Linked DNA regions of Ovis aries. The protein of the gene in region 1 binds, or shares a complex with, the protein of each later gene. Links are inferred from orthologs where the notes say so. Each region holds a gene or a part of one and is shown on either strand. Other genes may lie near its edges. The genes, in order: ROPN1L, DNAJB13 and DYDC1.

Region 1 (3,647 bases):
CGCAGGAGATGTGGGTTCAATCCCTGGGTTGGGAAGATCCACTGGAGAAGGAAGTGGCAATCCACCCCAGTATTTCTTGCCTGGAGAATCCCGCAGACAGAGGAGCCTGGAGGGCTACAGTTCGTGGGGTTGCAAAGAGTCGGACACGACTGAGCGATTGAACAACAACAGCATGTGTCGATGAAGCTTCAGAGATGTCTATTGTTGTTTCAGGTATTTTTCGGCTTTGTCAAGAGGAGATCCACTGCCCGTGAAGGACAGAATCGAAATGCCCATGGCCACTCAGAAAACAGACACAGGCCTGACTCAAGGACTCCTTAAAGTTTTGCACAAGCAGGTATCAGAGTCTGTGATCAGTCAGCTGAGCTTGAGATAAAGCTGCAGGACCTCCACAGTCATCCATCCACAGCCCTGTGCCCCCTTCAGGGAACCTTTGAGATTTAATCAAGGAGGGAATCTTGAATTCAGTGACCTTCCTCTGGTTTAAAGAACCCAAGATCACTGTCCACAATTATATAGACATACACTTTGTTTTTTTAAGTACTTGCATTAAGATGCAAGAGGCTATTGGACTATAATGAAAGGTTTGAAAATATGGAATTTCAGACTTGGGGGTTGCAAGATCCTTTTTGAAATATGAGTTTATAAAAACTATGCTAAACATGATAAGCTGCCACCTTCTTCATCTGAAGGGGTATTTGGTTTCCAGCCCTCCTGAAAGCCCTTGAGACCCACTGGCTCACTTAGAGAGTTCATAGAAAGTGTGTTTTATCGGAATGATTGGGCTCTATTGCCAAAACAGATCAGTGGTAGAGCCCTGAGTTTTAAAGTGGCTTGTCCCCATTATGTGTTCCTGACCAGGGTGCTGACTTCTATACACGGGATTCTCCCATGGCTTTCTCGCTTAAGGGAAAACGAATAACCACTGAGAGAGGTAGTCTGGGGGAAGACACGCGAAAATTGCTCAAAGCTCTTCCACGCAGAATACTGCTAGCAGATCACAGAAGTCACCCATTTTCATCAAGTTGTCTTAAAGTAGTAGAAGGAATACATGTATTTTCTGGGTTAAAATTTCTCCTATTTAACTGTCAGCATGTTGTGGAGTTGGATTTCATTTGGTCTATGGAAGTTTATTTGTGTTGTGAAGTGTTGCTCCTCATGTCCGTGTGCTCATTTCATTAAGTCATAACATTATGCCATGTTCGCTTCACAGTCCTTTTTTCTCTCAAGAAGTAACTTGTTGCCAGTCTAGTTCCCAGTACCACCCGCCCCCCACTTCCCTGCTCGTGTAGCCCAGCTCCCACGACACACACACATACACCCCCACCCCGCTCCCCTCCCCTAGTGGTGGGCTAATGGTGAAGTTCATCTTTGAATGGGGATGGGTACTCTATTTAAGTCTTTGCAAGCATTATGTGATTTCTTAGGTCCTCATCTTAACATCGATTATGTCATGCTGTGCTTTCCAAATAGTGTAGCCACAAGGAGTATGTGGACTTAGCAGATCTTGAGCAGAAATGGAAAAATCTGTGCCTGCCTATAGAAAAATTCAAAGCTCTCCTGCAGCTGGATCCTTGCGAAGACAAAATCGAATGGATAAAATTTTTAGCACTTGGATGCAGCATGCTTGGTGGGGTACGTACCTACAAATAGCCTGTTAATAATTCTGAGTGATCATAGGCCTGCTGTCCAAATAACTTAGCTGTTTCAGTAACTGTAAGAACACTCTCATCACTTTAGTAATGCTCATGATTTTAGTCATTTTGTCTTAGGCAGTTTTTTTCAGATGCTTATTGTATTTTAGGCTTGTAGTTATTTAACTTACAGAAGTTAAATACTTATGAGTGCCTCAGTGTAAAAGATGTTAACAGTAGATAAAACATGTAGATACCATGAAAATGTGTTCAGTGTTTAGAAGAGAATGCATCAATGACTTTTATTAAACTATACATCATTTGACAAATTGATAGGTTTCCCTCTTGTGCAAAAAGAAATAAAATTATCTTCTATTTTAGTTAAAATCAATTATTAGTCACCTACAGCAGTTAAAATCGATTATTAGTAACTTAAAGCAGATACCTTGCTGATGTTAAGAAGTATAACCCATACAGGTTTAGGACTGAAGACACAGACATTCCTCCAGTCTGTGAACTGAGAAGGGCGGTGGGTGTGGTGGGGAGGGGCTGGAAGTCAAGAGCCTGTCTTCAGCTCTAGAATTTGAGTCGCCGCATGAGACCCAGGGGTCAAGTCCACTTTCAGTGTGTGAACAAAAGGACTGAGAAAAGAGCCAGCTCCTTTTACTGCCGAGACCAGGTGTGCAACCCCCTCCCTTCAGTCTTTGGACCCCAGAGCACATACTTGGCTAATCCTTAGTCCTTGCTTCATGGGGCACCCTCATCTTGGGTCCCTGCACAAGCCTCCTTGATTCCGTTTTAACTCTCTAGCAGTACTTTGTCTGACACTACCTCACAGGGCCACTGACAGCTAACTGCCTGCAGCTAACCTTCCATCCTATCCCCGCACTGCCCTCCACGTCAAGCATCGGCTGCCCTGAGCTCCTGCTTCCTGTTGAGCGCCTATGGACCCCCAAGAAATACTTGATTTAATTTTAGCTGGTTTCAGCTTTATGTTGTTACTAATCTTCTGGAACTTTTCTTTGATTCCAAATTAGATTTCTCTTTGTTCATCTGCCTGGCTACAGACGCTATGGTTCATTCACCTCCCTCTGCTGTGCCGTGCCCGCTCTGCGAGTATCGCGTACTTTACCACCTCTGTTCATGGCCCCAGTGAGAAACTCAGAAACCCCAAAAAAGCCGGGAGTCAGGCTGGCTGCTCCCTTTCGTGGTGTCCCTGCCCACAGGTGGCGTTTCCTGCCAGCCTTGGGCTGGACAACCCAGACCCTGTTGCCACCTGTCTCTGGGCTCCGAGGCCACTGAGGAGAATTGCAGTGGGGTGTCACTGAGAAGGACAAAGATGCATTTAGTTACTGGAAGAAATTTTATATGGCTTTGTTCATCTGGAGCTCCAGGAAAGGGAGATTTTAATAACACAAAATGAATAACTAATATTTGATTTGATGGTTTATTCCTCTAAACTTGGTTTATGAGGCTTAGATTTTTATAAAGATGGGAAAGCAGAATATTTCATCTTTGGGGGATCCATCTTTGTAAGTGCGCCCTCCCAAATCAGGAGAATCGGGCGCTAGATTTCAAACCAGACCAGCCTGTGTTCTGCAAGAGGAGGCCTCATAGCTGTATGTGGGGCGTGACGCTAGATGGAGACATTTGTTAAGGATGGAGCTTCCCTTCCGGACTGAAGCCTGGGCAGGTGACAGGGAAAGAGCACACTCACTTCTCTTTCCTTCCCGGAACGTGTCGCTCAGCCCATCAGCCCATGGGGATCCAGCACTGGCCCCTGACTAAGCCACCTGGGCCCGGACTGGGCCGTTGACTCTCTCTTATTTCTCTGCGGGGAGCTGACCCTGGGGAGGGGGTTCAGGTGTGAAAGTCCCCTGCTCCTCTGCCAGGCAGAGTTCAGAGCCTGGGATGCCTGCTCCATCCTGGCCTGCCCACCCCCTCAAAAAAACCCCAGGGCAGGGCTAGCTGTGGTCCACGGGGGCTGTGATGGGCCAGGCCCAAGGGGACATG
Region 2 (3,647 bases), on another chromosome or scaffold:
TCAAACAGCGGGAGCACTGTGTGCTAAATACCAGCATCAAAGGCACTGGCGCTGCTGGAAAGGAAATCTAATCTAGAATGGAGGCTGCAGTCAGGGAAGGCATCCTTGAGGAGCGGACCCCTGAGTTGAATGTGGAAAGATGAATAAATATTTGCCAGGAGGAGATGAAGGGGGCTGGAGAGGGTTGATCATTCCGGGTAAAAGCAGGAGAGTATTGAAGGCATCAGCAGTGCAGCGTGCAGAGTGCAGAGCCTGGAGAGAAGAACCAGAGAGGCTGTGGCAGCAAGGAAGGGGAGTGAGTGAGAAGGGCGGAGTGAGAAGGAGGAGTCGAATCTTAGAGACATTCGGGTTTTACACTAAATTCAAAGGGCGGGGATTTCCTTGGTGGCCTAGTGATTAGGATTCAGCGCTTTCACTGCCATGGCCTGGGTTTAATCCCTGGTCTGTGCAGTATGGCCAAAAAAAATTTTTTTGAGTTTTTATGGGACTTCTCTAGTGGTCCAGTGGCTAAGACTCCACACTTCTAATGCAGGGGGCCCAGGTTTGATCCCTGGTCAGGGAACTAGATCCTACATGTTGCAACTGAGAGTTTGAAAGCATCATTTAAAAGATCTCAAATGCCGAAATGAAGATTAAAGATTTCTCATGCCAGTACAGCCAGATAAATATTTTAAAAAATGTTTTTGTTGTTTTAAAAAGAGAGAAACTCTGGAGCTGGATGAGATTTGAATCCTGACTCCTTGAAGGAAAAAAAAAAAAGACAAAGGAGGAACCAGTGAAGGGTTCAGGCAGAGAGTGACTTGGTCAGGGAGCATCTTAAAAGGGCGAGTTAACCAAAAAGAGAGAAATCAAACTGGTGGCAGCACACAGAATAAACTGGAGTCGGGGGCGGGTTGGGGTGGGGGGGACTGGAAATAGGAAGACATAGTTCTGCAATAGTTGTGGAAATGAAGAGGCAAAAAGAAAGCATTATCTAGAACGAAAAGCCAGTGTGAGTTTTCATTGGAACAGGGGTGTAAGGGTCAAAGGAAAACTTGGAGCCAAAGATACTCAGCTTTTCCACTTCAGGTTCTGTACAAATGGCAGGCAGCTGACAGCAGAGCCAGCTCTGAGCCTTGGACTGTGCCTCAAGGTATTAATCCTTCTTCTCTAGGTACCGGAAACTTGCCCTTAAGAACCACCCGCTGAGATCCATTGAGCCAGGTGCAGTGGAGACATTCAGGCAAATAGCAGAGGCCTACGATGTGCTGAGTGACCGTGAGTGACTGGGGCTGAGCGTGAGGGTGGCTCCTCTGCAAACCGCCCCCGCCTTCAATGTCATTCCTTCAATGTCATTGCTTACTCAGAAGAGTGTCAGGCTTTCTGAGGGGGCCCAATGGAGAGCAAGCATTCCTCTTCCCGGCCCAGAATCTAAGCAAAGTAGACACAAGCTAAGGTAGAGGACATGGTGTGGAGAGCCCCCAGATTAGGCTGACCTGCTTCCCGAGTCTCAGCAGTGCAGGGCCCGGGGCAGGGGCTCCCCAACACCGCCCAGGCCTCACCTGTCCCCTGCAGGGGTGCAAAGTGAGATCCTTGCTGCCCAGGGAAGAAGGCTAAGGCTGAGGCAGACATACCCAGTTATTCCCAGAGTGCCAAGAAGCCAAATCTCTCTCTCCCTGAGGACAGCATAAGTACCAAGGGACAGAGAGAGGTCTGTGATTGGGAAATCTCTCTCTGCTATGGCAACCTGAAGCCTGGGGAAAGAGATCCTCGCCTCTGTGGGGTGCAGTGCCCACGTGGGTTCCCTAAACACTGTCCTGGAGGCTGTGTGGATACTGTGCAGAAGAGTGGCCAGAAGATCACTAAAGTTTCCCCAGCCCCAGGTTTTCAGGACTTTGGATTTCCAAGCTCTAGAATTTGGCAGCTCTTGACTTCTTATATCCTACAGGCTCAAGGCACTAGGACTGTATTTACCCACATAAGACAGTAGCTGTAATGACTGAGTTAAACCAAACGCCAGCTCAATAGCCCGACCCTCAGTCTCCTGGTTTCTTCTCCAATCCCCAACCCTCCCCAGCAAGTTTTAGTTTTTCTCATCTCTCCTCTGGGCTATGGGGCCATACGTAGGTCCACCCAGGGTGAAATTAAATCCCTAACTTCTAGTGTCTCCCTCTAAAGACTTCCAGACCATGGCCACTTTAGAAATAAGTCTGTTTTCACCCTGCTTCTTCCACTCTGCCCCATATCCTCTGGCTTCCCAGCCCTCCAGCTCTCTTAGCCCCCATGCTGGCCCCTTGTCAAGGTGACGCATATCCACAGCTGTGAAAAGAGGCATCTATGACAAGTTTGGAGAGGAGGGTCTGAAGGGCGGAATTCCTCTGGAGTTTGGATCGCAGACCCCATGGACAACTGGTTACGTCTTCCATGGCAACCCAGAAAAGGTTTTCCATGAGTTCTTTGGAGGAGATAACCCCTTTAACGGTAAGAGGCCCTGCCTGCCCCTCTGCCTTACTAGGGAAGGATATAGCTGTAGAAGATGCTTTTCTTTGAGTAGTTTTGTTTACTTTAAGAAATATATATATAGTCATAAAATATATATATAGAGAGAGAGTCATCCATGCTCAGTCGCTAAGTCGTGTCCAACCATGACCCTGTGGACTGTAGCCCATCAGGCTTCTATGTCCACAGGATTTCCCAGGCAAGAATACTGGCATGGGTTGCCATTTCCTTCTCCAGGGGATCTTCCTGATCCAGGGATCAAACTCACACCTCCTGTTGTCTCCTGTATTGGCAGGTGGATTCTTTATCACTGCTGCTGCTGCTAAGTTGCTTCAGTCATGTCCGACTCTGTGCGACCCCATAGACAGCAGCCCACCAGGCTCCCCTGTCCCTGGGATTCTCCAGGCAAGAACACTGGAGTGGGTTGCCATTTCCTTCCCAAATGCATGAAAGTGAAAAGTGAAAGTGAAGACGTTCAGTTGTGTCCAACTCTTAGGGACCCCATAGACTGAAGCCTACCAGGCTCCTCCATCCATGGGATTTTCCAGGCAAGAGTACTGGAGTGGGGTGCCATTGCCTTCTCCACTTTATCACTGAGCCACCTGGAAAGCCCCATATATATATATATTTTAAAAACCCTATTTATTGAAAAAGAAATAAATTTCAGCCCTCCATTCCTTCCCCCAGAAGTAGCCACTCACTGTTACAGTTTATGTATCCTTCTAGAAATACTCTGTGCATTTATGAGTTTAGATTTATTTTCACACAGCCTTTCATCTTGTTAAGAAAATGGGACCACACTGTTTACACTGATTTTTTTCACTTTTATCTTAGAGATTCTCTTATTATACATTATATTACATACAGATCTACCTTATTTATTTTAATAGTTGCATATAAGATTCCATTGTACAGCACAGAGCTGGGCAGGGGTAGAAGAAGTTGAGGAAAGAGGAGTTTGGGGACATATTGGTGACCTCTCTAACTGGTTAGTGATTAACCCTGCCTCTCCCGGATCTCAGCTGCTGACTTTATAGGAACTTGAGTCTGAGATCTGTAGTGGTCTTGAGCTGGGCTGAATAGTGAGGAGAAATGAAGTCTGGGGGAGGGTAGGGAGGACTGTATGCTGTGACCCGTCTTCCACGGAAGCTAACACGTCATTTCTGGCT
Region 3 (4,325 bases), on another chromosome or scaffold:
TAGCTGGCACTAGCATCTTACCCACACAGAGAGAAGAATGATTATAACTGAGTATGGAACACAGTATCCTAATTGTACTTCTTCAATGGGATAATGCTCTAAAGACAAAAATAACTACATTGTCATCTCAATTCCATCTGAAACACACTAGCAATTTCTAAAGGACTTCTCCCTGGTGGCCCGGGCAGTGAAGGATCTGACTGCAGTGCAGGAAATCTGGAACAGATTCCTGCTGCAGCTCCAGAAAGCGAACACAGGAGGAGACAACCCTGGTCTCCGAAAGGAGAAACCGCCCAAGGAGGACTGGTCTCCAACAGAAGCCGGCTGCATCTGCTCATCAACCGAACCCAGGTGAAACTCCTTACTTCCTTCGGCTTGCTTCCTCTCCAGGAAACAGCAAAAATACCCAGCCAGTTGTAAGGCATATTTTTCAGACACACCAACAGGCATCTTGGCTCAACATAAGAAAGCTCATTCCCACAGAAACAGCTGCCTTAAGCCTGGCGAGAATACACAGAAGAACTGTACAAAAAGATCTTCAAGACCCGGATAATCACGATGGTGTGATCACTCACCTAGAGACAGACATCCTGGAATGTGAAGTCAAGTGGGCCTTAGAAAGCATCACTACAAACAAAGCTAGTGGAGGTGATGGAATTCCAGTGGAGCTATTTCAAATCCTGAAAGATGATGCTGTGAAAGTGCTGCACTCAATATGCCAGCAAATTTGGAAAACTCAGCAGTGGCCACAGGACTGGAAGAGGTCAGTTTTCATTCCAGTCCCAAAGAAAGGCAATGCCAAACAATGCTCAAACTACTGCACAATTGCACTCATCTCATATGCTAGTAAAGTAATGCTCAAAATTCTCCAAGCCAGGCTTCAACAATATGTGAACCGTGAACTCCCTGATGTTCAAGCTGGTTTTAGAAAAGGCAGAGGAACCAGAGATCAAATTGCCAACATCTGCTGGATCATGGAAAAAGCAAGAGAGTTCCAGAAAAACATCTATTTCTGCTTTATTGACTATGCCAAAGCCTTTGACTGTGTGGATCACAATAAACTGTGGAAAATTCTGAGAGAGATGGGAATACCAGACCACCTAACCTGCCTCTTGAGAAATCTGTATGCAGGTCAGGAAGCAACAGTTAGAACTGGACATGAAACAACAGACTGGTTCCAAATAGGAAAAGGAGTGCATCAAGGCTGTATATTGTCACTCTGCTTATTTAACTTATATGCAGAGTACACCATGAGAAACGCTGGACTGGAAGAAACACAAGGTGGAATCAAGATTGCCAGGAGAAATATGAATACCCTCAGATATGCAGATGGCATCACCCTTATGGCAGAAAGTGAAGAGGGACTAAAAGCCTCTTGATGAAAGTGAAAGAGGAGAGTGAAAAAGTTGGCTTAAAGCTCAACATTCAGAAAACGAAGATCATGGGATCCAGTCCCATCACTTCATGAGAAATAGATGGGGAAACAGTGGAAACAATGGCTGACTTTATTTTTGGGGGCTCCAAAATCACTGCAGATGGTGACTGCAGCCATGAAATTAAAAGACGCTTACTCCTTGGAAGAAAAGTTATGACCAACCTCGATAGCATATTCAAAAGCAGAGGTGTTACTTTGCTGACTAAGGTCCGTCTAGTCAAGGCTATGGTTTTTCCTGTGGTCATGTATGGATGTGAGAGTTGGACTGTGAAGAAGGCTGAGCGCCGAAGAATTGATGCTTTTGAACTGTGGTGTTGGAGAAGACTCTTGAGAGTCCCTTGGACTGCAAGGAGCTCCAACCCTCCATCCTAAAGGAGATCAGTCCTGGGTGTTCTTTGGAAGGAATGATGCCAAAGCTGAAACTCCAGTACTTTGGCCACCTCATGCGAAGAGTTCATTCATTGGAAAAGACTCTGATGCTGGGAGGGATTGGGGGCAGGAGGAGAAGGGGACGACAGAGGATGAGATGGCTGGATGGCATCACTGACTCGATGGACGTGAGTCTGAGTGAACTCCAGGAGTTGGTGATGGACAGGGAAGCCTGGGGTGCTGCAATTCATGGGGTCGCAAAGAGTCGGACACGACTGAGCGACTGAACTGAACTGAACTGAACTGAAGCCTGGCGAAGCTGTCCAAAGAAACAGAGGTTCCTCGGTCATGCTTGGGAGAAAGCAGGCCGAGTGGGAGAGGAAGGGATCGGATACAGTGGCCAGTTAAATTTAAAATTTCAGATAAACAAGAAACGATTTTGTATTATACACTCTACTATACATGTACTAAACAGTAATTTCTTATGTCTCTGAAATTCAAATTTAACTGGGTACCCCGAATTTTACCGACCTGGATTCCGAGAGCTTCGGTAGCTTTTCTATTCCAGACCCGCCTCCCCTGCCCCTCCAAAAGGCGCGGCGCTGCTCACCAGTGAGGAGGAAGAGGAGTAGGACTCAGCCACAGAGCTGCCTCCCTGCGCTGAGCTATTCCTCTGTCGCACCACTGGCAGGGTCCAAGGGCCAAAGCTGCCTCTGCCGGCTGGAAACCAGCCCAGCACCGGAAGCTGTTCTTCCCAAAAGGCGCCTGCATTCTAGAGGCTGGCGCCTGACGCATGCGCCTACCTACCTGCAGATAGCGTCCCGTTGCTAGGCAATGAGCCCGCGCGCCCCTGGGCTGGAGACTGCCTGGGTCCGAGAGAGAAGAGTGCGTGCTGAGAGCTGAGCTGACTACGCTGGGCTGAGGTCAGAAGAGGCGCGGGCCGGGGCGTGAGCGATGGTGAGGGTTGGAGGCGGCGGCGGAGTAGATGCTGCAGAGAGGAGAAGCTGGAGGAGTGGAAGGTAGGATGCGCAGCTGAGAGGAGGCTGCGCCCAAGGTGTACAGGGTGCTGGATGGAGAGCCGGAAGCACCAGGGTACGTGAGCAGAGACAGGATGTGCAATCTAGAGGCTTTGAGGAGGGGCCAGCCAAAAAGGGGAATTGACCAAGCGAGACTGGCAAGCGCAGTGCACACGGAGAGAGCCAGGACAGAGGCTGACCGGGACGGGGCGGGGCGGGGCGGGGCAGGGGCGGGAGTGGATGTGCGCAAAGGCTACCGGTAGGTGAAGCCCGCACTGCTTAAGGCCAGAAAAGAGTGTAGCAATCTAACATCCTGGTATTTTCTCAGCCTAGCGCTTTCGCACCTGCTGGTGACTTCTGCTTGGATCCTGGCCACTGGGGGTGGGGATAGCACATCTAAGAGCTGTAAATTCAGTTTTACTTGGGGACTTAACTGAGGATTATAGCCCTGCAGACAGCCTCTCAGACAACTCTGAGAAACTGCTTCAGCATGGAAGAGGTGAGGGCAGAGGTCAGCGTATAGGAGATTTGGAGAACGGGTACCTGCAGTCAAACATATATCTAGGTAAAAGTCTACTGCTAGTTATCAAGCACACACAGTTTAATTATTTTATGGCTTTTCTAAGTATGTAAGATGCAAGAAATTGGGTTTGTAAATTTTTGTCCTGAAAGTTTCTGTCTGAAGGTCTATTCTGTCAGTTTTCCCAGAAAGTGGAGTATCTCATTCCTGATTTCCACCCTGAACTCTTTTCAGGCTGTGTTAGTGACCAGTTAACAACTGCTAATGACTCAGTCCTTGTGGAGCCAGCTGGCTGGAGACATTCTTTAGTTGGCACTACTTTCAGAGCGAGCCCGGGTGCCCCCACCTCCAGGAAGTCTTCCAACCTTTTTCATCTCCCCCACCATCTGCAGCCTTCCCTGGGCTAGTTGTTTCGCACAGTTCTTGGCTAGCATTTCCCATGTTTTGTTTCAGTTTATGTGGGGCAGTGCTGGGCACAAGATGCTTCACTAAATGTTGATTGAGATAATAAGTGCCAGCGGGAGCACTGACAGATGGAAGGCTCTTCAGCGTTTGGTCCTCAGTGTCTGCCACACTGCAGTAAGTGTGGCAAACTGGATAAACGATCTGCTCCAAACTTGGTGATCCCACCCCCTGGGAAGGGTAGTTGTACTGGGATTAAGGCAAAGGAGAGCTGTAACTGTGTATCACCTGGGGATTCTGTTAAAATGCAGACTCTCAATCTGTAAATCTGAGGTGGGACCTGAGAATCTGCATTTCAACAACTCCCAGGTGATGCAATGACCACACTTTGATGAGAAGGGGTGTAGAAAGTAGTTTACTTGGGTGCATTGGTTCAGGTGCATTAGTCACAGATTGGCAGAAGCAGCCACCAACACATCCCCATCCCCTCCCTTCACCACTACCCCAAACGTAGTGACTTTAAACACACATTTATTATCTTACAGTTTTTGAAGTTTGAGATCCAAGATGAATCTTACAGGGT

What was found.
Region 2: ROPN1L (region 1) and DNAJB13 share a complex: the UniProt entries of both Homo sapiens proteins name them as parts of the axonemal radial spoke complex. The link is inferred for Ovis aries from reciprocal best matches to the Homo sapiens genes ROPN1L and DNAJB13.
Region 3: ROPN1L (region 1) and DYDC1 share a complex: the UniProt entries of both Homo sapiens proteins name them as parts of the axonemal radial spoke complex. The link is inferred for Ovis aries from reciprocal best matches to the Homo sapiens genes ROPN1L and DYDC1.

The regions. Positions count from the first base shown.
Region 1 is NC_056069.1:62,909,176-62,912,822, reverse strand, and holds part of ROPN1L (ropporin-1-like protein), read left to right. Parts: intron 1-213; coding exon 214-337; intron 338-1,473; coding exon 1,474-1,635; intron 1,636-3,647. UniProt on the Homo sapiens protein: Functions as part of axonemal radial spoke complexes that play an important part in the motility of sperm and cilia. Important for male fertility.
Region 2 is NC_056068.1:52,112,787-52,116,433, forward strand, and holds part of DNAJB13 (dnaJ homolog subfamily B member 13), read left to right. Parts: intron 1-1,153; coding exon 1,154-1,257; intron 1,258-2,298; coding exon 2,299-2,460; intron 2,461-3,647. UniProt on the Homo sapiens protein: Functions as part of axonemal radial spoke complexes that play an important part in the motility of sperm and cilia.
Region 3 is NC_056078.1:34,793,865-34,798,189, forward strand, and holds the start of DYDC1 (DPY30 domain-containing protein 1), read right to left. Parts: upstream 2,891-4,325; 5' UTR 2,612-2,890; intron 2,579-2,611; exon of another isoform or gene 2,415-2,578; intron 1-2,414. UniProt on the Homo sapiens protein: Functions as part of axonemal radial spoke complexes that play an important part in the motility of sperm and cilia. Plays a crucial role during acrosome biogenesis.